Macaca fascicularis: one gene and its partners. The protein of the gene in region 2 purifies or fractionates together with the protein of the main gene of each other region. This does not show direct contact. Links are inferred from orthologs where the notes say so. Each region holds a gene or a part of one and is shown on either strand. Other genes may lie near its edges. The genes, in order: GOLIM4, PTPRU and CLGN.

Region 1 (9,898 bases), on a different chromosome or scaffold from region 2:
TTTACCTCTCAAAACAGCTCAGGTAAAGGTGGCAAGCAGCAAGGCAAGTGTATTCATTAGGGGACAGCAAACTGATGAACTGGTAAAAAGGTGAAGACATAATAGAGTGAAGATTGTTTTACAGGATAAATAACTTCTGTAATTGTCAGATGAAAAGGTTAAAATTAGTTTATTAATACTGAAAAGCTATTTTAAATTTTGTTTAATATTCATCACCTTTTCTTAGGTGGTGATTTCTCCTACAAATTACAAAATATTGAGTTCCACCTATAGTAAAGAAATTTAAATAAAAGATTTAGGCAATAGAAATTATTTACTCTAGGATCCTAAATATTATTAATTTAAAATCTTACTTTTAGAAATTATACGTCAGCTGTCTCTCTCAACTTTATATTTTTTCCTTTCCTTATTTTGAAAATGAACAAATTTGATTAAAATGACAAATTCTCTTAAGTTAGAGAGAATTAATATTCTCAAATGTTATCTTTGCCCTTCTCAAATGTAAGACTTGGAGTATCTTTCAGTTAATTTCTTCCTGACTTAGAAATAAAATACTAAATCAGCAAAATTCTTCAGGGTTTACAATTTAAAATTTAATATATTGTTAAATATATGGAATATAGAAATATAATTATATATACTATTTTTAAAATAACAAAGAAGCAAAAATAGAATAAACAACACACCTTCCAAGACCAGTATAAACAGCTCATATGTTACAATTGCTACCCAAAGGCAATGTTATGTATATTCAATTTATAGGCCTTGGATAGCTTCCTCATGTTGGCTGTTCAAAAGTTCTATACTGATATTTTCAGAAAACTAGCAGTATACTTTACCTTGGAAATGTAATATTATAAAAATACCACCATTAGTGATTTTATGTACTTCTACATACCCTTCTCGAATTTGAAATAATGGATAAGTTCAGGTAATACTTTTTGCTCTTTCAAATTTTATGACTAAAATATTGAGTTGTGTTTTATGGCCTGCATTTATTATGTTCTGTAGAGTCAGCCAGCAGCTGACTCTACAGGCAAAGAATAGGCAAAGAATATCATTGGCAAAGAATATCGTTGGAGTCTGGAATCACATGCAAAGGTATCAGAAGTTTAAGATGAATCATACATTCAGGAAACATAAGAATTTTCCAAAGATTCTAAAATACATATTGTGTAATATATGAGCAATGATTTTCCAACAACTTCTTTTTCTTTTGTGGCTAGGATAATTTTCTTTTCAAATATGGGGCAAGATTGTTGCCATAAACTTTATTTATTTATATATTTATTTATTTTGAGACAGAGTCTCACCTCTGTCACCCCGGCTGGAGTGCAGTGATGTGATCTTGGCTCACTGCAACCTGTACCTCCCAGGCTCAAGGGATACTCCCAACTCAGTTTCTGGAGTAGCTGGGACTATAGGTGAACTTCACCATGCCCAGCTACATTTTTATGTATATATATATTTTTTGTAGAGGCGGGGTTTTGCTGTGTTGCCCCGGCTGGTCTCGAACTCTCAAACTTAAGCCATCTGTTCTCCTTAACCTCCCAAAAGTGCTGGAATTATGAGTGAGCCACCATGCCCGGTCTAAATTTGGATAGTGTTTTTGGAGGAAGAGTTTGTTTAACAAAGTACTCTGACAACAGTAAGGAATGTTTAGTTATGAGGAATTTTAAAGGGATTCCAGTAATTATCCAATCTTAATTTCTGAGAGTCAAACTAGAAAAGAGGAATTTAAAGTGGTAGATTTAATAATAAGCAAGATTATGTAGTATTTACACAACAAAACTCCCAAACTCCTTTAGATTGTTTTCTTTTACAATCAGATTCTCATGTTAATGGAGATACAGTTTCTGACTGTAACGTGTATAATAGAATGAGAACATTGTTTCTATTGAAGAAAAAGACAGAGAGCAGGATTTGGATCTGGATTCTAATCTTGCTGAGTAACTAACTTTATGCAAGACCTAAAAGGTCCTAGAGCTATCATAGTCACTTTGATAAACTTTGGCTTCTTTACCAACATGAAAGTCTGACACCCTGGCGGTGATCAGTGAGTCAGTGTATCTGTACACGAAAGTATTTTGAATAATATAATGCAAGTTATTATTTATTAAGGAAAAGCACATGCAAGACACACTTTATTTTTACAGTGGTATAAATGCCACAGACTAGCATCATTATAAATTCAGTTTATTTTATGGCTTTAGCAACCTATAATTTCAGAGTCCACCTAAAAAAACTTTTGCACCAGGAACTGTCTTTCTGTTGAATTTAGCTAAAGAGATTTACCCCCATTTTGAGCACTCACGCCCATTAGCAATGGTAACGACCAAAGTCCAGTTAGAATATAAAAATTATGCAGTGTATCATACATTACACCACACTATTGAGACAGATAAAATTTACTTTTCTTAGAATTCAGATCAACAGCAGAAACAAACATTATCATTTCTGCATAACCTTAATTTTTCCCCTCAGGTACACAGAAAAAATAAATGCAGTATACATTTCTTCGAAGAGGTTTTTGGTTATTACCTTTCCTGTGCTGTACTAGTTTTTACATAGGGAACCTTTGTTGCCCTTTAAAATGTAATTTAGAAATGTAACTGATGTGTTTTGCCACCAATAAAACAAATATATATGACAAAATGAATGGATACTCATTTCAGTCTGTACGATTTGTTTTTAAATTATTCTATTTGCAGCTAGAGGAGAAATGTGAGATCATTTCTTTCCTTTCTGCCAATGGCAAGCTGATTTCCCCAGACCACGTGGACAACTGAACATTAAGTCTAGCGTGCTTCAAGTCTCCCGACTCCTGCCGGGCCATCTGTGGGCACACACACATCTAGGCTAATACACTGGATGGGGTAAGGCAGTCGACACAGCATCTCTGGTTTGACTACCGGGATTGTGCTATGTAGCTATCCCATGTGTCTGCCGCATCTGTTTATTGGACAGGGAAAGAAACTGTATTCAGCAGAGTGCACACAGTTACTGCCATCCATTCTTTCGTTCATACATACATTTTACTACGCTCTCCACGTGCGTTCCGAGAACTGGATCACAAACACACATACTCAAATACACACACACACACACACACACGTGTTCACCGAACCTCACCCAGACTCAGGCCCGGACAAGTACCCCGCCCACCCAAAGCTCCCCGCCCTTCCGCCTGCCTCTTCCCACCCTCTCCGACTCCACGTGGGCGCACCCCGGCGCCAGGCGGCAGCGCTGCCCAAAGAGCCCCTCTCCTGCCCCGGCACTGGGAGGGAAGGCGCGGCCCTGGGGTCGGACGGACAAAGCGGGCGTCCAATCGAGCCCGGCACTGCCTTCCCGAAGGGAGGGAGCGGCAGCTCGGACGGGCCCAATGAGCAAGGAGCCCGAGTGGGACTTCCTCCCGGAATCCCGTTGGCCAGAATAGCGGGGCCGTGGGTGACACGTAAGTTGGGCGGGAGGTGGCGGCGCGGCAGAGGCTCCAGCCGACCCGTCAGTGACACCGCTCTGCCGTCCCCAAAACCAGCCGAGGCAGCTGGCCCCCACCCTTCCACCCATTGGGCAGGCCGCGCCGGGGCGCGGCCCGGAGTCATGGTCCCTTTGTTGGGCGCGCACCCCCTCCCTTAGGTGGCAACAAAGTCGTGCAGTGGAAGCCGCCGCGAGGGGGCGGGGAGCTGCCAGGGCGGGACTCCAAGAGCTGCCCGGGGGCAGCGGGGCCAAAAAGTGGGAAGGAGGAAAAACGGCAGGAGGCATCTGGGGACAGGCGCGAAGGCAGCCGGCTCTGAAGTATGCGGAGGGCCCCCTCCCGGCCCCGGGCATTCGCGGAGAACGAGCGTCGCAGAAGTTTGGCTGCAGCTGCCCGGGCGGCGTCGATGGCTGCGCGCCCCGCGACGCGCGGGGGCTGAGCGGGCGCCACTTCCCCTACGGGCCGGCTTTTGTGTCTGGCATCTCCTCCTCATGCTGCGTCTGGCCACCTCCTGCGGCGGCCGCTGCTGAGACGCTCGCTCGGACCAAGGGGAGGAGACGGCGGGGGCGGCCGCGGCGTTGGGTCCAGGCGGGACTATGGGAAACGGGATGTGCTCCCGAAAGCAGAAGCGGATTTTCCAGACGCTGCTACTGCTGACCGTGGTGTTCGGCTTTCTCTACGGCGCGATGCTCTACTACGAGCTGCAGACGCAGCTGCGGAAAGCCGAGGCGGTGGCGCTAAAGTACCAGCAGCACCAGGAGTCCCTCTCCGCCCAGTTACAAGGTACGGCTAACGGGACGCGCGCAGTCGGTGGCCAACTTTGCTCCGCGCCTCCACCCGGGCAGGAAAAGTGGCTTTGGGGAGCTCTTGGCACTGTGGTTGCCACCTCTGACCTTCACGGACGTCAGAGAAGAGCTTTTCAGGACTGCCGGCCCCAGAGTGTCAGGGGAGATGACATTCTCACCCTCCCGCTTCTTCCTCCCAGCGGTTAGGTTTGAACTTGGTAGCACCAGCCCATCGTCCCGCTGGGCGTTTGGTGGGCGGGTGCAGAGAGTCCTTTACCCGAGGGCTTGTCAAAGGCCCAGCGAAACTAGGAGCCCTCCGCCGCTTCTGCCAGCCCTGCTCTAAGGAGCGTTGTTCCGTCGATTCTAGGTATTTGCTTGCTTGTTGACTTTGTCAGTTGCTTAAAACATGGAGAGTTTGGCAGAGATTTCTCACACTGTTTTGTTTTTCAAGGGAAAATTAAGTCATGATCCAGCAGCTTAATTAAAGTCATGGCCCAGTCGAATGGAACCTAGATCTGGACCCGCTAGTTTCTTATTTCTTATTCTTTTAATTTAATAGGATGTTTTCAGAGATGCTGGATGTGTGGGAAAAGTCCACACTATATACCATTCACCATCCTGCAGTAGTTTCTTTCAAAAAAGATTTGCTTGTCTTCCTCAGTAGCTTTTACTTTATCACAGAGCTGCATGTATGTATTTTACAGTAAGCTCGGGAAGTCAGAGGAGAAACAGGTTTTCACTTTGCCATGCACAGCAAACCCAACTTGAGCAAGACCTGTAGAAGAACTTAAAGTTTGTGTCCTTCTATTTTAGAATCTGATTGAATGTAATTTTCACAAACATAATTTATTTTTAATGTAAATTCAGAAACATTACCTCAAAGTCGGCACCATGTCGTCTTGTTAAGGATGTATCCTATACATATTTTTTTTTTGCAAGCTTTTACTTGTGGTTAGTTTTCAATACTTATGCAACTTTCTCCCCAACCAAAAAATAATGAATAGCTGTAAGTAGTGAAATGTTGGCAGCCTTTGCTGATGATGCAAATATAGCTTATTTAATATTGCTAGGTAGATAGATGCAAGCTAGAGGAATGTTTCTGTGTATGTGTGTGCAGATATAAAACGGATGCTTCTTCCTTGCTTCAGTTATTCTAAGTGTTTTCTAGTAAAAAATTTAAGATGAGAGAAAATGATACGCATCTGATTGCTTGAACTTACTTGCTCTTCCCAGCTTAGAAGAAAGAAAAGTATTTTTAGCTTACTGAGGCTGCATAGCCACAGGCAATGAAAATACATGGCTGGGCTTGGTTCAAAAGTAAAACCCGTTTTGATACACTCTTAGGTTCAAAAACATTTCTTTAAACTCATTGAAATTTACCCATGAGTTATTGTTGGTATGAGAATATGGATATTTGTTTACTTATTTATTTAGAAGATATCAGTAGCTTCCCTGTGAAGTTCCATGATGTTAGACCAAGGGAAAAATTTGCTGTCTAATAGTACAACAGTACTGGATTTTCGTAAACATGGCTGGAAGGGCCATGTATGGTGGATTATATGAGGTTGTGTGTGCCTTGGTCTCTTAGGAGTCCCAAGAGGGCAAAGGCTGTCATTTTCACCATTACCTCCCCAGCACCACACTGTGCCTGACACTCATTAGGGGAATCAATGCGTGTTTATTCAAACAACAAACAAAAATTATTTGAAACTGTGGTGAGTAAGTTCATCCCAGGCACTTTTGTCTTTCTGAGACTTTGCTTCTGTGTCTTTGCTTTTTGAAAGCCAAATAAAACAACAAGAAAATATTTTGTTCAAGTAGCTCCTTTGCCTCAACGGCCTATGATGGACATTGTTGACTAAGGCCCTGATTTCTGAATAATGGCCTTTATTTGCAGTATTTCATTTTGAAATTTTAGAAATTTCTGTTCTAATTTGCCCTTTCTTTTTTTGGTGGTGGTGGTGGTAGAGGGGAAAAGAGGTGGTAAATGATAATACAGGATCATTAAAATGTACAACTTTTGTTTTGCAGCAGATGGAAATGTTCTACCTAATTTGAATAAATGGCTTCAAAGTTCATTTCTTAATTTATTTTTTTGTCATTTCCTCTTTAATTATGGTGCTGCAAAACTTGCAGTATGATTATGCATTAAGAATTTTTTCACAAGCAGGCTACAGTTTTTTTGTTTGTTTTTGTTTTTTGTGGATTCACTTTTGACTTCTGTAGCATTTATTTTGGATTTCGCATGTGTAGGCCATTCAATGAACATTTTCTGATGGTATGCAACTTTTGCTTCCCTTTTCCAAGACAAATGACATTTTACTCAACAGCACCGTGTGCCACCTGCATAGATGGGCTTTTAGGACATCAGGCTCTCCAGTCTTAATACTTGTTTAGTTAGGTGGGATTGCATGACCTGCCTTGGATTCAGATCAGAATTAATTACTTTACAAAGAGTGGTCTTTTTAGAAATGACTCAAAATTTCAGTAGTTTGGTCCTATAACCTGGTGATGTGCATTTGTTAAGTGAGCATATTTAGGTCACCTTCAATTTAAGAATACATTATACTTCATAGATTCCTTTGAAAGTGTGTTACTTGTAACCCCAAGTTACAAGTTTTATTATAGAAGAGCCCCATAAATAGAAGATGGCGGGGATGGCATGCAGAAAGGTCAAACACTAGGCAAATCCCTTCCACTATAAAAATATCTATATCTGCCTGTTTATCTCTCCCTCTTAGCAATCAGCCATCTATTTATCTCCCATACGGGTACCTTAATTATACTGAGGAGTAGGGCAGAGGTCACATACTGGTGGCAAAGGTAATAACAATCTTTGGACAGCACAGTGTTTATATAACCTTTAATTTTTTTAAACTGCTTTCAAGTGAGCCATGCTCCACTGTCTGTATCTATAAGCAGTGTTTCTCAGTCTAGACTGCCCATTAGTATCACCTGGTGGCTCCCAGACCAATTAAATAACAGTCTATGGGGGGTGGAACCCAGGCTTCAATAGTCTTTAAAGCTCCCCTGGTGATTCCTGTGTGCAGCCAAGGTTGAGAGCCACACCTCTATAATCTTAAAACTGAGCCACTCCGTGCATTTACTTTACTTGTTTGACCCCAGAGACACTTGAATTTTTTTATCTGAGCATGTGATTTAAAGCAGATTGGCTTCTAGACTGTAATTCAAATTCTACTTCTAAAACCTTTTGTGTGAACCTCCACGTTTTTCTTATTTATAAAATGGAGATTAGAATAACCTATTTTATAGAGGTATTGTGAGGATTAATGAAGGTGATAGACTGTAGAGCTCTTAGAATGTACTTGGCATATAGTAGGTACTGCTCATTAAAAGTTAACTGTTATCAGAATCCCTTTTGAGGTAAGCTGTTTTATCCCTTCTTCTCTTGCCAGGTTTGTCATGAGTAAAAATTTTGAAATTGGCCGAATTTGTTTATGTAGCTAACCACCTTCTTTTATTGTACCTTAAATGAACATCCAGGAATATGCAGACATCCAGTGTACCTTACTCAGAAGAAAGGACCTTCCTTGACAATTTAAACTTGGACTAGGGTTACTGATTAACTGTGTTCTGGATCTTATCAGATTAGGAGAGGGTGTGACTGCTAAGGTAATAATTATGTGCTGTAAGATCTGGGAGAGAGATATAACTATTTAAATTTTTACAAAAGGCTTTTAGCATAGAGGCAAAGAGCCCGACATTCCTAAAACACAGTATTGCAATGCTTTTGGACTTACAGGGATAAGGAGAAACCATGAAGAAAAAGTTTTTGTAAGGTTTATATGTTCCTATTCCAGATGAATATGTTACAACTATTTAAAATTTAAAAAAAGGTCACAAATGTGGACCCGTAGAAGTGCAGAGTTACAAGTGTGGATTTCTTACATGCATATATTGAGTTGTGGTGAAGTCTGGGCTTTCAGCGCACCCAAAGAATGAACATGTTTACCCCACAGGAAAATTTCCAACTCTCACCCCCCTGCTAGCCTCCCACCTTTTGTAGTCTCCAGTTCCACTCTCTATGTCCATGTATGCTCATTGTATAGCTCCTACTTGTAAATGAAAACATGCTGTCTTTGACTTTTCTTTTTCTGAGTTATTTCCTTTAAGATAATGGCCTCCAGGTCCATCCATGTTGCTACAAAAGATATGACTTATTCCTTGTTACGGCTGAGTAGTATTCCATGGTGTATATATACCACATTTTCTTTACCAGTTCTCTGTTGATGGACGCTTAGGTTGATGCCATATCTTTGCTATTGTGAATAGTGCTGCAATAAACATACAAGTGCAGGTATCTTTTTTGTATAATTATTTATATCCCTTTGGGTATATACCTAGTATTGGGATTGCTGGACTGAATGGTAGCTCTATTTTTAGTTCTTTGAGAAATCCTGATACTGTTTTCCAGAAAGGTTGTACTAATTTACATTCCCACCAACAGTGTATAAGCATTCCCGTTTCTTTGCATCTTTGCCAACATTTGTTGTTTTTTGACTTTTTAATAAAAGCCATTCTGACTAGTGTAAGATGCTATCTCATTGTGATTTTAATTTGCGTTTCTCTCATACTTAGTGATGTTGAGCATTTTTTTCTGTTTGTTGTCTTCTTGTCTAGCTTCCTATTAAAAATGTCTTTTCATGTCCTCTGCCCAGTTTTTAATTTTATTTTTCTTGTCAAGCTGCTTGTGTTCCTTGTAGATTCTCGATATTAGCCCTTTGTCAGATGGATACTTTGCAGATATTTTTTCCTATTTTGTAGGCTGTCTGTTTACTCTGTCGTTTCTTTTGGTGTGCAAACATTTGTTATTTAAGTTAGTGTTTTTTGCGTTGGGCTCCTCTAACACTTAGGATGGCCCACTGGCCTAAGCATGAATACATCTTGTCATTGGTTATTTCTTTGCTTTCAACCTTCCCTAAATCTACTTTTAAAAAGGAAATGTTGGCCAGGCACCCTGGCTCTTGCCTGTAATCCCAGCACTTTGGGAGGCTGAGGCGGGTGGATCACTTGAGGTCAGGAGTTTGAGACCAGCCTGGCCAACATGGCTAAACCTCATCTCTACTAAAAATACAAAAATTAGCCAGGTGTGGTGGCACATGCTTATAATCCCAGCTACTCAGGAGGCTGAGGCATGAAAATTGCTTGAACCTGGGAGACAGAGGTTGCAGTGAGCCCAGTCACACCACTGCACTCCAGCCTGAGCAGCAGAGCAAGACTCTTTCAAAAAAAAAAAAAAAAAAGAGAGAGAGAGAGAGAGAAACATCTCCTTCAGTACAGAACCAGGCTTTTTTTTTTATTCCTTCATCTCCAGCATCTGGTGCCTGGCGTATAGTAGGTGCTCAATAAATAGTTTATACCTATGTAGTACTTATTCTTGGCCTATTAATGTGCATATATATGGTGATATTGTGGGCAGTGAGATGTAGTGGATGCAGGCTGAGGCGTCAGAGCACTTGAATTTGATTTCCTGCTGTCTTATTTTACTAGTTGTGTGGTCATGGGCAAGTTATTTAACCTTTCGGTGACTCAGTCTCTTCATACGTAATAATCAGGATAATAGTACTTACAAAAGGTTATCATGAGGATCAATAGTGTTAGCTGATGTGCAATGCTT
Region 2 (9,751 bases):
TCTGTACTGCAACTTGCAGGATTACAAAGGGCAGATCAAGATTTGGTCAGGGCCCAAGTCAGGGTCAAGGCCAGAAGAAGCCAGACAAAGACCAGGGTCATGGGAGCCTGTGCCAGCCCCTAGGTCGGGAGGAAGACCGGGGGTGAGAAGAGCTCAGGAAAGAGAGGGGGACATGGCACAGGGTGGGGCAGGGCAGCTCACCAGGGGAGCCTGGGAGCCAGATCTCTGATGAGAGAAGGCCGGGTGCCAGCTCCCCTGGCAGGACGAGGGAGCAGTGAGCAGCGTCAGGGCCTGTCACTGCCTGGGGAGCCTGGGGTCCCAGACCCTTCACTGATGGAGTTGGGAGGGACCTAGAGATTTATTTATTCAAAATATTTACTCCTCCAGGGCTCTGGGTGGAGACCACACCCTGGAAGCTCTGCTCTCCTGAACCTTGCTTTTAGGAGATGGAGTGGGATAGTCAGGAAATAAATATACAATGAAATGTCATCAACTGGAAATTTCTACAAAAACAGCCAGGCAGAGTGTTTAATGTGGATTTGGGGTGTTGGCGGGGGGCTATTTTTGATGAGGTGGTGGGGGGGGGGCTTCTCTGAGGAGGTGATAAGCAAAGACCAGAAAGAAGTGAGGGAGAGAACCATATAGACATTTGGGAAATTTGGCCTAGGCAGCCAAAATAGCAGATGCCGAAGTGCAGAGGCAGGGAGTAAGCTTGGCCAGCCTCTGCCGTGAGCTCAGCCTCATGCCCAAGCTCCCCTCACCATACCTTTGGAAACTTTTGCTGTTTAGTTCTGGGGGTCCTGGGCCCACCCTGTCAACCCAGGGCCTCCGTGTGCCGACCAACATCAGAAATGGCCCACTGGAGGCAGCCTGGTCCTGTGGGGCACAACCGCCCAACTCAGGGTGGGCAGTGCGGGAAGACAGTCTGGGGCAGAGGTTCAGCCCAGGCCAGGGGCCGGGAACAGGGCCCCGCTGAGTCCCGGTTTCCCTGGTCCCGGTTTCCCTGCAGAGCTACACACGGAGCGCGGCCTTCATCGTGACCCTGCACCCGCTGCAGAGCACCACTCCTGACTTCTGGCGACTGGTTTACGACTACGGGTGCACCTCCATCGTCATGCTCAACCAGCTGAACCAGTCCAACTCCGCCTGGGTGAGGCCTCCACTGGCCAGGCCGACGGGCCACCTGCTGCCCAGGTCCTCTGTGTATTCAGCGGCATGGTCCCCAAAGCCAAGAGTTGGGTCCCAGTTCTGCCATCTATTTATTGTGTGACGAGTCATACACCTTCTTAGAGCCTCAGTTTCCTCATCTGTAAAACAAGGGTGTTAGATGGGAGACCACTAGTTGCTCTTTTTCTTTTCTTTTTTTGAGACAAGGTCTCACTCTTTTGCCCGGGCTGGAGTGCAGTAGCGGGATCATAGCTCACTGCGTTGTACAGCCTCAACCTCCTGGGCCCAAGCCACCCTTCCACCTCAGCATGTGGAGTAGCTGGGACTACAGGCTGCATCACCACAGCTGGCTGATTTTTTTTTTTTTTTTTAAATAGAACCACAGTCTCACTATGTCGCCTGGGCTGGTCTTGAACACCTGGCCTCAAGTGATCCTCCCACCTTGGCCTCCCAAAGTACTGGGATTACAGGCATGAGCCATTGCATCTGTCCACAGTTGCTCTTTATTGGCCCCCTGCTAAGCCAGGGACTGCTTTGCACTCATGGTCTTATTTAGAATCTATAATGACCTTGGAGGGAAGGCTTCAGTGAGAAAATTAAGACCCAAAGACGTACAGTGCTTTCTCCATGGTCACATGGCTGGGGAGGGGCAGAGCTGCGCTCCCCGGCCTCGGCTGCCTCATTCCAGAGCTTCTGCTCTTTTAGTCACTCCACTAAAGCGCCCTTCACGGGGGCCTCCGAGGTAGAGTACAACTGAAGCCTCCTACTTTCTGACTGTTTGATCTAGGGTAAGTTGATGGACCTCTTTGAGTTTCACTTTCCTTCTCTGTAAAATGGGGGCCATCATAGGACCTGTTCTTAAGGGGTTACTGTGAGGACCAGGTCAGGTGTGCATAGGATGCATGGCACTGCTGTGTCTGGTGCACAGTAGGCATGTGGTACGTGTAGGCAGTAGGCAGGGACAAAGATGATGAGTGTGACAGTTGCATTTGAGATTGGCCCAGACACTGGTTCAGTGACCTCAGCCTGGGGGCAGCCCCACTGACTCCCCCATTTCCCTTTGGAGCTCCCAAGAAGTACAGATACCCAGCCTTCCAGCCCTGCCTGACCATGTGCTGTAGGTCTCTGGACCCCTTCCCACTCCGGCTTTCTGCTGGGCTCGAGGCTAGGAAGATTTGCTGTAAAATGAGTACAACAGCTTCTTAATGGCCTCCTGGAGAATATTTCATTAACTGGGCTCTTTATGCATCAGGCACTTTGTGAAAATGACCCAGGACTACAGGGTAATGGGCCTCAGCCCTGGGTGTAGCAGGAACCATCCTTGCTCGGGTAGAGGGGAGAGGCCCAGAGGGAGGCTCACACAGACATCATTCACTGGGCACTGATTTGCTCATCTGTTCAACCAACTTTGCCCAGGAACTGCTCCCTGCAGTGGGCAGGGAGGGGACAGAGGCAGAAGAGACACAGCCCCTCCCAGATCTCCTGGTCCAGGAGGAAACAGGTAGAAAAACTGATAGTGACAGCACAGAGGGAAAAGGGCTTTCAAAGAGCTGGCACAGGGACAGAGAAACCCAGGGGACCACGTATCAGCGACAGCTTCCTGGAGGAGGTAGTGTCTGACCGGAGATATGTGGGAAGGGCAGAGTTGAGTAGCTGAGGAGGTGGAGGAAGAGTGACCCGTGGAGAGGGAGCAGCCTGTGCAGAGTTCTGAATGCACCGCGTTGCCGGGACCTGAGGCAAAACGGGGAAGGTGGTGGTCTCCTGTCATGGGCTGTGGTCAGAGGGGACTGATGAGCATGGTGTCTTTTTGGAAGAGGTTGGGAGGCATTTGACAGATGGAGAAACTGGGGCCAAGAGAAAGGAAGAGCCTTTCATGGGCTTCAGGCAGAGCTAAGACTAGAAACTGAGGCTCAGGATACTTAGCCTGGAGGATGTGTGCGCGCGTGTGTGTGTGCACGTGTGTGTGTATATGTACGTGTGTGTGTATGAGGTCGGAGGGCTGTACCTCCTCTGTCCCTCCACAGTCGAGTCTGGGAGGGGGTTGTATGTAGAACCCTGACTCCATGGAGGGGTCCTGGGGCAGAAGTGGGAGTACCGGACTGTGTTGCAGCATCAGGGACACCCCACCTCTGGGAGCTGGTGCTGAAGGGCAGAGGCAGTGAGAGAGAAGGCTGGGGGAGGTTCTGGGGTGGGTGGGAGTGATCCAGGCCTATTCCTGGAAGCAGGCAGCCTCATGTAGGAGCGTGTGAACCGGTTAAGGTGTAGCTTTCTAGCTGCACAGCAGTAGGCATCAGTGCACTGTTTGTGAAGGGTTCGTCTTGGCTGATCTGAACGTGTCAGTGCAGAACGTATTGGGACAGGTGGGCCTTGCAGCCTGTGGGTGATTGGTGGTGACTGGAGGGCCGCTGAAGGTGAGTCTGGAGTGAGTGGGTGGGCCAGGGTGCGTGGGAGCTACAGGGCAAATGTGGAGCCCTGGGAGTGGGCATGGCTATGGGGTGAGCCCCGGCCAGGCTCTACTCAGCTCTCCCCTCTCCGTGCCCATGCCCAGCCCTGCCTGCAGTACTGGCCAGAGCCAGGTCGGCAGCAGTATGGCCTCATGGAGGTGGAGTTTATGTCGGGCACAGCAGATGAAGACTTAGTGGCCCGAGTCTTCCGGGTGCAGAACATCTCTCGGGTGAGTGGTCTGAGGAGCCCCAGGGAAAGACCCTGGGTGGCGGCTGGGGCAGCTTTTAATGACCCTCCGGGTCATCAGGGGCCCCTGGGACTCTGGTGCTCATGTCCCCGTGGCTGGCTGCCCCTGTCTCCAGCTGCAGGAGGGGCACCTGCTGGTGCGGCACTTCCAGTTCCTGCGCTGGTCTGCATACCGGGACACGCCTGACTCCAAGAAGGCCTTCCTGCACCTGCTGGCTGAGGTGGACAAGTGGCAGGCCGAGAGTGGGGATGGGCGCACCATTGTGCACTGCCTGTGAGTACCTGCCCTGCAGGAGGGCGGGTGGAGGGGTTGGGGAGCCAGGGGCAGAGGTCCAGTCTGAAAGGGTGCCGGCTTTGGCTGGACTGCAAAGCTGGCACCGAAACCCCTGGGCTCTCAGATGGCTGTGACCTGGATGCTGCCCAACCAGCCAAGGCTGGCCCTGGAGGAATCCAGTCAGTTTCCAGGCTATAGACTCAGCCCTGAACAATTGCCTAGTACCCTCTGTGTGATGTCTGACTTTGCCAATTTGAGAGTCCTTTGTCAGAATTTTTTACCCCATGAGATTTTGGCACACTTTTTATGCCAACAGGATACCAGCCTTTGTTCATGCATGCACACATGCGACTTTTTCCATCCATCCATCCATCCATCCATCCATCCATCCATCCATCCATCCATCCATCTGCATACCCCATTCATAAGTTCATGTATTCACTCATGTCTGGGTGCAGTCACTCCCTTGCTCCCCACTTTTTCATGCTTTCAGCACTTACCGAGCCTCTCGAGTGGCAGGCTGGGCCTACTGGAAGTTGGTGGGAAGCTGAGTCAGTCTGGGCCTGGCCCCCAGGGGTTTTGGTTCTTCTGGTGGGAAAGACCCCTGAGAAGGGGAGTGAGGGCCGCCTCAGTCTGCCATCCCCCAGGAGGCACCCCACACATGGAGTCACAGGGAAGGAGGGAGAGGCACAGAGGGGGTGGAGCTCTGTGGGAGGCTGTGGGCTTGACTTGGGGTGTGGGTACGTTTGTGCCTGTGTGCCCACGTTGCCAGGTGGTGACCGGTCTTCTCAGCGTTCCTGTTCCACCTTGCTCTCTGGGTACGCGCTTGCTGCTACCCAGCCGTTCTTTGTCACTGCGTTTGTCTCCGGGTGTTTCTCTTGGAGTGTGTCTGGCCTCCTTTCTCTCAGAATCTGCAGTCTGTTTCGCCTTGAGAACATGTTTTCTGAGATGCCCTAGCCCCTGATCCTCCTTAACCTGGTCCTGCTGGTCACCTCTGGGCCCTCTCCTCCTCTCTCTGGGTTCCCTAGCCCCACCCCTTACCTCAGGGTCCTCTGCCCCGCCCTTCTGAGTTCCCTAGTTCTGCCCCTCACCTTGGGCTCTTTGGCCCTTCTTAGTTTCCTTGCCCCGCCCCTCACCTTTGCACTCTTCGGCCCCTCCTTTCTGGGTTTCCTAGCTCTGCCTCTCATTTCCGGGCTCTTTGGCCTCTTCCTTCTGGGTTCCCTAGCTCCGCCCCTCTTCTCTAGGCTCTCTGGCCCCTCCTTTCTGTGTTCTCTAACTCCGTCCCTTACCTCTGGGCTCTCTGCCCCACCCTTCTAGATTCCCTAGCTCCGCCCCGCTCCTCTAGGCTCTCTGCCCCTCCTTCGTGGTTCCCTGACCCTTTCCTTACCTTCAGGTTCCAAGGCCCCACCCCTCACCTTTGACTCCTGAGCCCCGCCCCAAACCTTTTGCATCTCTCATTCAGAAATGGGGGAGGACGCAGTGGCACCTTCTGCGCCTGCTCTACCGTCCTGGAGATGATACGCTGCCACAACTTGGTGGACGTTTTCTTTGCTGCCAAAACCCTCCGGAACTACAAACCCAACATGGTGGAGACCATGGTGAGGGGCTGTGTCCCGTGCCCAGCCACTTCTACCTTCCTGGTCCATGCCAGGCTGGGTTCCTTAGCAACCACTCTCCCATATCTGGGCCCCACCATTGGGCCTTGGTTCTAGCCCTGTGGTCCTAAAACATTACCCCCATTTCCCCCTTCTCCCCGAGGGCGGGCCTGGGCTCATGCTTGCCCTCTCGCTCCCCGTTCCCACCCCCGCCACAATACTGGAGTCGGGGTCAGGCTCATGATTTCCTCCCTCTCTTTCTCTCCCCAGGATCAGTACCACTTTTGCTACGATGTGGCCCTGGAATACTTGGAGGGGCTGGAGTCAAGATAGCGGGGCCCTGGCCTGGGGCACCCACTGCACACTCAGGGCCAGACCCACCATCCTGGACTGGCGAGGAAGATCAGTGCCTCCTGCTCTGCCCAAACACACCCCCGTGGGGCAAGCATTGGAGTGGATGCTGGGCCATCTTGCTGTCCCTTCCACTGTGGGCAGGGTCTTTCACTTTGTCCTATGGGCAGGTCGTTGGCCAAGGAGGAGCTTAGCAAGTCTGCAGCCCAGCCCCACCTCCATAGGGTCCTGCAGGCCTGTGCTGAGAGGCCTGGCACTGCCTGGCAGAGTGACAAGGGCTCAGGACGGCCGGCTCTGGGGTACTCAAGCCAAGCCCCTTGGCACCGTCCTGGCCTTTGGCAGGGTTGAGTGAGGCCCTGCAGAGAGTATCCCAGGCCAAGATTCCCACTCAGCCTGCTCCCTCTGCAGTGGGTAGAGGGTGTACTGGGGCTTGGCATCTAGGATTCCATCTGGCACAGCCTCTGAGGGTCCTGGGGAGGCAGGACTCTGTTCTGAACAGCCAGTGGGGCACACTGACTGTCCTCCCCAGGGGAACTGCAGTGCCCTCCTCCCCACTGCTCCCTGCAGCCCCTGGGATATTTTGCTCACTCTCCCTCCCCACTTCTGCTTCCCTGATATGTGCTCTGAGCTTCCCTGAACCAGGATCTGCCGATTCCTGCTGTGCCCCACGGTGGGCTCCTTCCCTGCGTGACCCACTGTTGCAGAATGAAGTCACCTCGCCCCCCTCTTCCTTTAATCTTCAGACCTCACTGGCCTGTCCTGCTCAGCTTGGGCCAGTGACAATCTGCAAGGCTGAACAACAGCCCCTGGGGTTGAGGCCCCTGTGGCTCCTGGTCAGGCTGCCCATTGTGGGGAGGGGCAGTGCTAGAGCAGGGCTGGTCATACCCTCTGGAGTTCAGAGGAAGGAGGACCAGTGCTTTTTTGTTTCTTTTGTTATTTTTGGATGGGTGGTTGGGAAGGTCTCTTTAACATGGGGCAGGCCACACCCCCATTCTGTGCCTCAATTTCCCCATCTGTAAACTGTAGATATGACTACTGACCTACCTCGCAGGGGGCTGTGGGGAGGCATAAGCTGATGTTTGTAAAGCGCTTTGTAAATAAACGTGCTCTCTGAATGCCACAGAGCAGCCCTGTGTGTGTCTCACCAGCCTGATAGGGCCTGCTCACCTGCCCCCAGCCTCCAGTGCAGTGGGAGGGCCCTGGAGAAGCCTGGGTTCTGATCCAGTCCTGGTTTTTCTATTTGTAAAATGGTGGGAGTGTGGACCAGGACATCACTCAGGGTCCTTCCACTTTCAGAGTTGGTTCCAAGGGACCCTGGCCATTGTTGCCCCCACCCAGGCCTCTGAAGCAGTTCCTCAGGTAGGGTATATCAACCTGAGACCCCTGAGGGCCACAGAGCTGCCTCTCACCCCACTGGGGGCCCTGGATCAGGTTGAGCTCTTTCTGGGGCAGCATGGGAGGCTCAGGCTGTGGTGTCAGGCAGATGGGCCCAGCAGCTGCGAGACCCTGGGTGAGTTAGTGCCCTCTCTGGGGCCTACTTTATCATCTGTAAAGTGGGGACAGTCCTGTTTGGATCAGATGAGGTAATGATTAAGTGCCTTATGCAGTGCCAGGCGCATTGAAAGGGCTCACTTTACAAACATGGCAGAGATGGGGGCAGAGGAGACACAGCCCTGCGGAGGATGACCGTCCCGTTGCCCCAGCCCAGGCCATTCCCAGCTCCAGCTGCCTCATGGGGTAGAGAGGGAAGAGGAGCGGGCTGGCTGGTAGGGACCTGGGTCACTCCTGGCTCTGTCACAGACTTGCTGCCTGACCTTGGACAAGAGAATTCCTGTTTCTGGGCCTCAGTTTCTTCATATGAAGGCTGACTCATTCTATTTGCACACTGGCTGACCCTGTGTGCCTCAGTTTCTCCACTGGTCAGAGGATACAACCCATTCTAATGACCTCACAATTCAGCATACTTTAATCTGAGTTAAAAATTAATTGGCCAGTTAGGATCACACTTGACTGGGGCACAGACTGACCCCTCATCCTCATTCTGAGCTGACCTCTGAGCCTTACGTGATGGATCACAAATGTGTGTCATGGGTACTGGCCCAGTGATAGAAAATGACTTGCTCTGCCCAGTAGCATGGGCAGAAGTGACGGCACGTGAGTTCTGGATCCTGGGTCTCATGAGGCCTTGCGGTTTTTGCTTTCGCTCTTCTGGAACTCTGCTATACAAGGGAACCTGTCTCACCTACCGGATGATTTGAGGGCACACAGAGGAGAACCAGCGCATGCCATGAACAGTCAGTATCAACTCCCAGGCTGTGAGTGAGGCTGTCTTGGACCTTCTAGTCTAGCTGACCTGTCAGGTAAGTGTAGCCCCATGGCTAAGCTTAGAAGACACTGCCCAGTGAGCCCCTAGAACTGGGAGAGACGCTAAATGGTTCTTTCTCTGAAGACGGTCTGTTGGAATCCCTTGTTACATACACAGTTAGCTTTCGCTGATACACGCGTGTGGAGCAGTCTGGATGCGGCTCGGCCCTTTGCTCTGTTCGGTGCTGGCTCCTCAAGGGCAGGGAGTGTTTCTGTGCCATCTTGTGTCCATTGCCCAGTAAGGGGCTTGTCTTGGAGCTAGTGCCCTGGAAATGTTGGCACGAAGGATGGAAGGAAGGAGAGGTTGGACTTGCCTGCCCGACTGACCAGGGGCATCTGGCCTCTCAGAGGAGCTGGGGAGGTGGGCTGTGTATTAGGAGGAGCACCAGCTCCAGAACCCGCAGGACAAGTCCCGCCCCCAGCTCCACACCCCACAGTCGGGTGACCTTGCACAATCCCCTAACAACCCTGCAATAAACACAACAGGACCTATCTGCAGGATTGGTTGTGAGGTCTAGGGACAAAATATTTAAAAAGAGCCAGCGTAGTCCTTAGTGACATAATTGACCCTCAATAAAAGGCATCTCATACCATAATACTGAAGCCCCTGGATAATGAAAATGGTGACGGTCACCTTTCATTTTGTGCCTATTCCTGTGTTGTGTGCCCTACAGCCTTTATCTCTCCCTCACTCCATACAGCAGCTCTTTAAAGTGGGGATTCCTACCCCTTCAGTTTAGAGATGAGACACGGAGGCTCAGGGAAGTGAGTTTACTCACCCAAGGTCACCTGGCCAACATATGGCAGAGCAGGGACTTGAACCCGTGTTTAGGCTGACTCCACACCTGGGCCTTTATCTGCTCCGCTCTGTGGCTTCCCTGGGGTCAACAGCCCAAGGATCCCCTCAGTGCAATGTCAGATGGGGAATTTGTGGCCTAAGCACTGCTTCCCAAATGCTGTGAAATGTGTCAGAGGTGGTGGCCTCTTGGACAAGGTGGCCTGGAGCACAGGAAGATGAACGGTCCAGCCGGGTTCTGTCCAGGGCTCTGGCTGAGCAGGTGTGGGTAGAAACCTCCACCCATCCAGGCCCCAGCAAATAAGATTTCTACAAGTGCAGATAGGCCGGCTGCCTGTTACTGCCAGAAGCTAAGTTGTTCTTTATGCCATAATAAATCTTGCTGTAGGAGTCAGCGAAAGCAATGATTACTTCTATGACCTCTCTGCTGGTCCCTGATTGGGACGCATTATATATTCCAGGCACCCAGGAGATGGAGCTGTGTCACTGATGGATGCCAAGGCCATTTGCAAG
Region 3 (10,186 bases), on a different chromosome or scaffold from region 2:
ACCATTCTGGGGTCTGGAGGATGGTGGCCCTCCTTCTCACAGTTCCACTAGGTGGTGCCCCACAAGGACTCTGGGTGGGGGGTTCTGGCCCCACATTTCCCTTTGTCACTGCCCTAGCAGAGGTTTTCCATGAGGCCCCTGACCCTGCAGCAAACTTCTGCCTGGGCATCCAGGCATTTCCATACATCCTATGAAATCTAGGTAGAGGTTCCTAAATCTTAATTCTCAACTTCTGTGTACCCACAGTCTCAACACCACCTGGAAGCTGCCAAGGCTTGGGGCTTCCACCCTCTGAAGCAACAACCTGAGCTGCACCTTGACTCCTTTTAGCCATGGCTGGAGCAGCTGGAACACAGACCACCAAGTCCCTAGGCTGCACAGAGCAGGGGGGCCCTGGGCCCAGCCCACAAAAGTGTCTTTTCCTCCTAAGTCTCTGGGCCTGTGATGGGAGGGACTTACATGAAGACCTCTGACATGCCATGGAGATATTTTCCCCATTGTCTTGTGGATTAACATTTGGCTTCTTGCTACTTATGCAAATTTCTGCAGTGGGGATTTTCATTTCTCTCACATTGTCAGGCTGCAAAGTTTCAAAACTTTTATCTTCTGTTACCCTTTTAAAACTGAATGCCTCTAATAACACCCATGCCACCTTTTGAGTGCTTTGCTGCTTAGAAATTTTTTACACCAGATACCCTAAATCATCTCCCTCAAGTTCAAAGTTCCACAAATATCTAAGGCAAGGGGAAATTGCTGCCAGTCTCTTGTTATATGTGCTGTGCAGTATGGATTGAAAAATTTACTTATTACATGTGAAAATTCAATTGTACCACCACAATTTGTTGAAAAGACTATTCTTTCTCTACCAACTGCATGTATACCTTTGTCCACACTGTCTTAGTCTGTTTTGTGTTGCTATAACAGAATACCTGGGACTGGGTAATTTATAAAGAAAAGAGGTTTATTTAGCTCACAGTTTGACTGGCTGGGAAGTTCAAGGACACGGCTCTGGCTTGTGGTGAGGCTTTTGTGCTTGGCCAAAAGATGGCAGAGAAGGTCAAAGGGGAAGCAGAGCATGCAAAGAGGGAAAATCCTGAGGGGCACCTAGCTTTATAACAAGCCATTCTCATGGGAATGAATCCAGTCTCGTCGGAGCAAGAACTCACTCACTACTGAAATGGCATCAAGCCACCTACGAGAACAGGACCTTCATGACCCAAACACCTCCCATTAGGCCCCACTTTCCAGCACTGCCACACTGGGGACCAAACTTCAACATGAGTTTTAGTTGGGACAAAGCAACCATATCTAGGCCATAATACATACACATGTAAGTCCATATAGAATCTATTCTGTCCCATTGATTTGTCTTGATACTAATATTCTTTGATAACTCTTTGATAACTATGACTGTATATCATTCTATAAATCCTGAAGTCGGGTGGCATTTCTGGGGGGCTTTATCTTGAGACACAAGATAAAAATTCAGCATGGGCTCATTCTGCCAACTATATAGTTTAACCAGACGAATTCTGGGAAAAACCAGGAACAAAACAACGATGACTATTGTCATTACTATTATTTACTATTGTTTGATATTTTTGTTAAAGCAATAAGGGAAAAAACCTCAGAAAATAAGTATAAATATAAGAAAGAAAAGATTATTTTCTGCCATAGACATAATTATACACCTTAAAAATAAAAATCAACCCACTGGAAATACTTGTGGAATACTTGTTTCCTTTTCTCTATTCTCTGCACCATTAAAAAGCACATTTCAAAATATATGAAACTATACAAACATTTTAAAGTATTATTTGAATTATCTAGGCTCTGAGTCCCTTCGTTGTATTTGAGTTAAAACTTCATTCTACATAGTTCTTTAATCCTGAGAATCAGAGGCATTTCCTATATTCTGCATTTTTCAAGTGGCAAGGTGTTGTGGAAAGAGTACAAGCTTTGAATCCTCACTCTACATTTTAAGGCCTGTGTGAATAAGTTATGTAACTGATTGGGGTCTATTTCCTTATAAGTAAAATAAGGATGATACCTGTGGGTCAACTGCATATAACAACTTGCACATAGTAGACCATTAATAAAACACAGCTCTGATTTTGATTACAAAACAGGCTTCCAACAGGACATCACTCTGTTCCATCAAGTAGCATGAAACTTTCTGCCTCTTTCTGTTTGTTTGTTTTGTTTGAGACAAGGTCTCACTGTGTCATCCAGGCTGGAGTGCAGTGGCACTATCTGGGCTAACTGCAATCTCTGCCTCCTGGGCTCAAGCCATTCTCACCTCAGCTTCCCAAGTAGCTAGGACTACAGGCATGCACCACCATGCCCAGCTAATTTTTGTTGTATTTTTTGTAGAGATGGGGTTTCATCATGTTGCCCAGGCTGGTCTCAGGCAGCTCAGCTCAAGGGATCTACCTGCCTCAGCCTCTCAAAGAGCTGGGATTACATGCATGAGTCACCATGCCACGTCACCTTTCCTGCTTTTTATGTTTTTCTAGATTTCTGATTACTCTGGTCCCTCCAATCTTGATTACATCGCCTTGGTCTCTTCCCAAATCTCTCTTCAACTTTGATGTGTCAGAACACTTCACAACTCTACCATTCAGCATTATCTTCTGAGACTCCTCCCCTTGTATCATTAAACACTACCTCATGCTCAAAAAGTCATACCCTGGTCTCATTTTCAGATTATTCTTTGACATTATTATCACACTGTATTATTCTGATGAAAAGTTGCCTATTAAACAAAATTATAAATATTATATTCAATCATCCTTTCAATAAGTGGCAGATAATTTTGGAAATATGTTAAGACCTTAAATTTCAAGGTAACAGATTAGATTTCATTCTGTGGGTAATGAAGGGTCATTGGAAACTATTGAATGAGCTGAGGATTCAACTATGAAGTGTAGGTGGGAGGCTCTGAAGGGGGGCAACTAGTTAGACAACTCTGAGCAACAGTTTCTAAAGGAGTGAGAATGTAAACTAGAGAAATGGTACAGCAGCTGAAGGGGGTGAGGACCTCTTTTAGATGATTTTATGGAGATAGAGTTTAATTTATGGAGGCAGTGAAAGTAGCAGCCAAAGAGTAAAAAAAAAAAAAAAAAAAAAAAAGTTCTCAAGGTTTTGAGTACTATGTGACCAAGAAGATACTACTAAATCTTACAAAAATTCACTATTCTTACATCTTTAGTTTTCAGCTTCTTCATTGCAAACTTTGAATGGATCCTTTAAAAAAATCCTTCTCTAGCAGTTCAAGTGTATTTGTTATGGGCCACAGAAGTATGTTGAATAATAGAAGTCAGGATGGAAGAAAGAAATAAAGGGTATAATATTGTTACAAAGTATCTCAAATGTCTTTTTAACCAGTAAATTTTAACACTATCCAAACACTCTCCCAGAGGTGACAAAGTCAAAAGTTTAGAAATGCTGGTCTTAATTAGTAAAGCAATGTGAAAAAAAACTCAGTGATCTTGACCCCAGCCAATAATGATACGGTGTGCATGGAATGCCACCAGTCCTTCAAGACTGAGACTCTTCAACAAGGGTGTTAGTCTCACAAGTCAATCAAACGTTGTTAATTAATCTTCTGATAAAATTAAATTGGTATTATACCAAATTCAAAGTCAAGATTTACTGTAAAATATAAGTAGTAAAAGCTGAATGATCCAATATATAAAAGGCAAAGCAGCTTGTGATTGAACACTGCGTTTATGCTGTAGTTTTATTTCAATGTGATTGAAACTGCAGGCTCTGGGAGAGACAGACCTGATTTACATCCTGTTTCCACTGTTTACGGGTTGTGTAACTTCGAGCAAGTTATCATCAGTTTCATCACCTGGGTTGCTATGAAGGTTAAACAATGAATGTAAGCCCCTTAGAGCACAATGAACACAATAAATGTTAGCAGCTCTTATTAATAGTGTTGTTGGAGAGAAAAAGAACATATTGTTTTATATACAATGTATTTATTAACATTTAACATATCTGTATTTGTCATATACACACACCAGACAGGAAAGCTCCTTATTAATCACCACGACTGCAGATCTGTTAACATCTAGAACTCTAGAGAAAGCCTAGAGCCCTAATCTTGCTGCACTTATTACTGGACGTTGTTCATAAATATGATTTACATAAAATTCAGGACCCAAGCATTGAGCAACAGGGGGTAGAACCGCACGGTCTGCAGAGAGGGCGGGCGCTCAGAGAAGGAAAACTCTTCAGACTTGCAGGAGGAATTCCTCCTCGGCTAACCCGGGAGCGGGGCTCACTCCACAACCGGCCGGCGGCGGCACAGGCTCGCTGTGCGGCTCCCCCTGGAGGCGGTTGAGCCCCTCGGAGCAGGAGCGCGCAGCACGCGCCTGGGACAGCCGCCGCCTCTCGCCCGCCGCCGCACGCGCATGCGCGGTTAGTAGTCGCTGCTGTGCGGCCGCCAGCGGGATTGGTCTGAAGAGACGCGGGGACCAAGTGGCAGCGACTCGGACATCTGGGCTGTCACTGCCGAAAACAGGCCACAAGAGAGGTGCGTGAGCAGCAGGCCGCGTTTCCGCTGTCCCGCTGCCCTTTGCGCGCGGATTGGGGTGAGGAAGCGGATCATTGCTGCTTCCCCAGGCACCCAGTTATTTTGCCGCCAGAGGGCTGAACCGGTCCGGGCCAGGTGAGGGTGGATGTTGAGTCTGGCGATGGGGCTGCAGCGAGCTAGGGTCTTGACTGGGCTCTGGCGGCCCCGTGGGTGGACGCAGGGGATCGGTCGCTCCTTTTGTGTCTCCGGCACCGCGGCGTCCACCTGCTGCGCCCGGGCTGGGGCGGACGGGTGCCGGGACAGCTAGGTTCCCTGCCCAGACGGCCTCCCCTGCTGGCTTGAGGAGCCACCGGGAGCCGAGGCCGTTATCCCAGCGGTTGCCATTGCGGCCCCGTTCCACGCTCGAGCCCCGGGGCGCTCTCCCAATGGTTGTGGAGGGGGCCCGGGGCGCGTCCGGGCGCTGCTCACTCCGCTGACTGCTCCTCACAGAAACCCAAACGAGACCAAAATAGGCTCGACTGTCGCAGTCTCCACCTCTGTGGAAGCGAAGCGAACCCACCTCAACGCGGTGGGGCCAAGGACTGTCGGCCCCTCCCTGGATACCCGCGCGGAGCCCAGTGTGCGCCGCCGGGGGGCGGGCGAAAGGGCTGGGTTGAATCCAGAGAGGCCCTAATTACTAGACTCATTATCGCCCCAGGCCTGTTTACCATCAATCAGACACTTTCGCTGATTTTATTTATAGCAGCTGCCCAAGCAACAAGGAGGAGGTGTTTGCTTGGGAGTTAAAAGCAAATGGCAACCAAAGCTCAGGACTGGGAGAGAAAAGGTAAATAATGTGGCCTCGGGAAGAAGTCTCAAATTAGAAGAGGGTTCATTAACATAGAAACTTTTTGTTGCTTAAAAGCAGGCAAAATCCCGATCTCATCTGATGATTTTGCTTGCTTTACAAATGTCGACATCACTCGAGGTAGCCCTCCTTTGGGTCATTGAGAGTTTGACCTCTTTTCAGTTTGCAGTTTGGCCTTCACGTCGTATTGCTTTGATCTTCCAGTCACATTTAGATCTCATCCTCAGAACAAGATTTTCCGTACTCTCTGTCTTAGCTAGTTGATAAGGTTAATTACTGTGTGTAAATGATGTAAATATGTTGATACATCTGTCTAGAAATTGAACAGTGTTGTAAGTTAGCTGTAGTACTAAGTACCTAATAAATATTGGTGTTTTTAAATAGAAAACTAGAATTATGAACTTTAAAGAATCTTTGGATTGTCTAGTTCATGTCACAAATGAGAAAACAGGTGCAGAGCAGTTTTAATCACTTGCCTTTTTAATAATAAAACTAGAAACTTGGTGCGGTGGTGCCATGTTCAGTGTACTTTTTATTCTATCATTCTACGTTGCATTCCTGACGCCACATGAAAACTAAAACTTTAAATAATAGGTGATTGTCAAACACCACTTCTGGGATATGCCAGTGTTGGTCCCATCCTCAGTCAGCCATTAAAACTGAGTAACAGCAGAAAGGCATCGCAGTTATAAGAAATAGCATGTACAGAAGTGTGTTAAATAGGTGTGTTGAGAATGAAAGAAGGCTGGGCGCGGTGGCTTACGCCTGTAATCCCAGCACTTTGGGAGGCCAAGGCGGCCGGATCACCTAAGGTTAGGAGTTCGAGACCAGCCTGACCAATATGGTGAAACCCCGTCTCTACTAAAAATACAAAAATTAGCCAGGCATGGTGGTGCACGCCTGTAATCCCAGCTACTCAGGAGGCTGAGACAGGAGAATCACTTGAACCCAAGAGGCAGAGGTTGTAGTGAGCTGAGATTGTGTCACTGCACTCCAGCGTGGGTGACAGAGCAAGACTTCATCTCAGGAAAAAAAAAAAAAAAAAAAAGAATCACACAAATGTGTCAGAAACATAAAGTGACCATAGTGTTGGAAAAATGGCAACTGTAGACTTGTTCAATGCAGCGTTGCCAGAAACCTTCAATTTGTGAAAAATGCAATAAATCAAAGTGCAGTTAAATGAGGTATGCCTGTATGTACACACACACACACACCCCCAATTGATTCTGCTTCTCTGATTAATAAAATGGCTCTCCTCCAAGTAATGATTCAGGGATTCTGCAACTTTCTACCTTGTAATTCTGCCATTTTCAACCATGATTTTCAAAATTACTTGCATCAAACCAGATGGGGAAAGATCATAAAGAATTATAAATCATAATTATGGGAAGTTTTTACGGGCAAGGGCTGACAGCGGCATACAGGTCTTCTATTTTACATTCTATTGGCTGGAATTCATTTCCCTGGTCACATCTAGTGCCAAGGAAATTACCCTGTTGATCAGCCAGCAATTTCTCCCACATTTTACAACAGATATTACATATCCTGTGATTGTCTTTTCTTTGTGTGCCCTACTTACCTTTGATGTGACAGTGAGCTTTACTTCAATACCAGTACATGAGCTGCACTTTATAATTTGTAATTTGGGGGTGGTAGTGGAGATCCAGTAGGGTTTTTAGGTGATATTGGTGTAATTATTTAAAGTAGACCAGACTACTTGATCTAGATTTCAAAGATTGGGAAGAATGGTATCTCATTCATGGATAAAGTTACTTGTGCTTCAATTTGTTATTGAACTAGCACAGAAGCAGTGCAGAGAACATACATGAGATCAAAGATACGTGTTGGTGCAGAAGGATGCAGTTCTTTAGTGCCTCCCTTCTTATGAAGGCACAACTGATATTTAGTGATCTCAGCAAGCCTCATGGAGTGAGGAATACATAAGAAGCTTGGAACCCTGGGCATGCTACCTTTTAATTTATAAGGAGGGAAGAGGGTGACATTAGCACTAAATGTTCTACCCTATACCATATAAACAAATTCTTGCTGTACTAAAATTGCATAACTTAGAACAACCATACAGATCAATAAAGAAATAGGTAACACCACAAGCCAACTCAATGTAATAAACATATGGACAGCACTGTACCCAACAATAGCAGAACACACATTTTTCTTAACTGCACATGGAACATTCTCCAGGATAGACCATATTAGACCACAAAACAAGTCTTAATGAATTTTAAAAGACTGAAATCATACAAAGTAAGTTTTCTGAACACAAAGGAAAGAAACTAGAAACCAATAGTAGAAGGAAAACAAGAAAAATTCACAAATATGTGGAAATTAAACAGCACACTCTTGAACAATGAGCCAAAGAAGTCTTAAGGAAAGTTAGAAAAATATCTTGAGACAAATGAAAATTGAGAACAAAAGATACCAAAACTTACGGGATACAGTGAAAGCAGTGTTAAAAGGGAAATTTATAGCTGTAAACACTTACATGAAAGACAAAAGATCTCAAGTTAACAACCTAACTTACACCTTGAGGAACTAGAAAAAGATCAAATGAAACCCAAAAGTTAGAAGAAAGAGAGAAATAATAAAGATTAGAGCAGAGGGAAACAAAATGGAAAACAGAAAAACAAGAGAGAAAACAAGTGAAATCAAGAGTTAATTCTTCGAAAAGGTCAACAACAACAACAAAAAATAACAAACCTTTAGTTGGATTAAGAAAAATGAGAGAAGACTCAAATAACTAAAATTGGTAATGAAAGGACACTACATCTGATTCTACAGAAATAAGAGGGATTATAAGAGAATACCCTGAAGGATTGTATGGCAACAAATTGGATAATCTAGATTAAATGGATACATTATTAGAAACACACACCCTATCAAATTTAATCATGAAGAAGTAGAAAATCTGAACAGACCCATAACTGGTAAGGAGATTGAATCCGTAAACAAAAACTTCCCAGCAGATAAAAGCCCAGGACCAGGTGGCTTCACTGGTGAGTTCTACCAAACATTGAAAGAAGAATTAACACCAGTTCTCCTCAAATTTTTCCAAAATATTGAAGAGGAGTAAACACTTCCAGATTCATTCTATGAAGCCAGCATAACCCTGTTATCAAAGCCAAAGTCACTACAAGAAAACTACAGAGCAATATTCCAGATGGTTATTGATGCAGAAATTCTTAACAAAATACTTGACAACAGAAGTCAGCAGCATATTAAAAGAGTTGTATACTATGACCATGTTGGACTTATTCCTAAAATTCAAGGATGATTTAACATAAGAAAATCAGTGTAATATGCCACATTAACAATGTAGAGAGGTGAGAACACATGGCCATCTTTATTCATGCAGAAGAAGTATTTCACATGATTCAACACTCTTTCATAGTAAAAAAAACGCTCAGTACACTAGGAATAGAAGAAAACCACCTCAACATAGTAAAGGCCATATATGAAAAGCCCACAGTTAACATCAGACTAAATGGTGAAAGACTGAAAGCTTTTCCTTTAAGATCTAGAATAAGACAAGGATGCCTGCTTTTTCCACTCTCCCATGCCAGAGAAATTAGGGAAGAAAAAGAAAGAAAAAAGACATTCGAATTGAAAAGGAAGAAGTAAAATTATCTCAGCAGATAACATGATCTTGTACGTAAGATATCACAAACACAATACAAAAATCTGTTAGAAATAATAAATGAAGGCCACGCATGGTGGCTCATGCCTGTAGTCCCAGCACTTTTGGAGGCCAAGGTAGGCAGATCGTTTGAGTCTAGGAGTTTAAGACCAGCCTGCGCAACATGGCAAAAACCATCTCTACATAAAAATACAGAACATTAGCTGGGCATGGTGATGCTTGCCTGTAGTCCCAGCTACTCTAGAGGCTGAAGTGAAGGATCACCTGAATCCAGGAGTGCAAGGCTGCAGTGAGCCATGATGGTGCCACTGCACTCCAGCCTGGGTAACAGAGTGAGACCCCATCTCAAAAAACAAACAAATGAATTCACTAAAGTTGCAGGGTAAAAAAATTAGCACACAAAAATTAGCTGCACTTCTGTATCCTAACAATGAAAAGGAAATTAAGAAAACAATTCCACTTATAACAACATCAAAAATAATAAAATAGGAACAAATTTAATCAAGGAAGTAAAATACTTGTACATGAAAAACTATGAAATGCTGAAAGAAATTAAGAAACAAATATTAATCAGTGGAAAGACATGTTCATTGGGATTAGAAGACTTAATAAGATAGAAACACAACCCAAAGTAATCCACAGATTCAGTGCAATCCCTATCATAATCCTAATAGCCCTTTTTGCAGGAAGAGTAAAATTCATTTAGAATCTCAAGGGACCCCAACTAGCCAGAACAATCTCGGGAAAGAAAAAGTTTGGAAATCTCGTATCTCGATGTTTCAAAACTTATTACAAAGCTATAGCAATCAAATCAGTGTGAGATTGGCATAAAGACAGACATATATATCAATGGGATACAATAAAGAGCCTAGAAATAAATTCTCACATATATGTTCAAATATTTTCTTAAAGTGCCAAGACCATTTTGTGAGAAAGAACAGTTTTCTCATGAGATAATATTGGGGAAACTAGCTATCCGCATGCAAAAGAATGAGGTTGTAACCTTACCTTAAATCACAGACAAAAATTAACTCGAATAAATTGTAAAATAAATTAGAAAGTTCTGTGCATCAAGAACACAACAGAATGAAAAACCTATGCAATGGGATAAAATATTTGCTAATCATGTATTTGATAAAGG

What was found.
Region 1: the proteins of PTPRU (region 2) and GOLIM4 purify together in Homo sapiens (affinity purification with mass spectrometry; 3 studies listed by BioGRID and IntAct, counting the BioPlex papers as one, with this or other methods). This does not show direct contact. The link is inferred for Macaca fascicularis from reciprocal best matches to the Homo sapiens genes PTPRU and GOLIM4.
Region 3: the proteins of PTPRU (region 2) and CLGN purify together in Homo sapiens (affinity purification with mass spectrometry; 3 studies listed by BioGRID and IntAct, with this or other methods). This does not show direct contact. The link is inferred for Macaca fascicularis from reciprocal best matches to the Homo sapiens genes PTPRU and CLGN.

Annotation. Positions count from the first base shown.
Region 1 is NC_088376.1:79,488,406-79,498,303, reverse strand, and holds the start of GOLIM4 (Golgi integral membrane protein 4), read left to right. Parts: upstream 1-3,432; 5' UTR 3,433-4,071; coding exon 4,072-4,258; intron 4,259-4,526; exon of another isoform or gene 4,527-4,627; intron 4,628-9,898. UniProt on the Homo sapiens protein: Plays a role in endosome to Golgi protein trafficking; mediates protein transport along the late endosome-bypass pathway from the early endosome to the Golgi.
Region 2 is NC_088375.1:205,696,083-205,705,833, reverse strand, and holds the end of PTPRU (receptor-type tyrosine-protein phosphatase U), read left to right. Parts: intron 1-1,009; coding exon 1,010-1,150; intron 1,151-3,715; coding exon 3,716-3,841; intron 3,842-3,974; coding exon 3,975-4,132; intron 4,133-5,594; coding exon 5,595-5,730; intron 5,731-5,997; coding exon 5,998-6,060; 3' UTR 6,061-7,198; downstream 7,199-9,751.
Region 3 is NC_088379.1:145,564,982-145,575,167, reverse strand, and holds the start of CLGN (calmegin), read left to right. Parts: upstream 1-4,464; 5' UTR 4,465-4,678; intron 4,679-5,285; exon of another isoform or gene 5,286-5,369; intron 5,370-10,186. UniProt on the Homo sapiens protein: Functions during spermatogenesis as a chaperone for a range of client proteins that are important for sperm adhesion onto the egg zona pellucida and for subsequent penetration of the zona pellucida.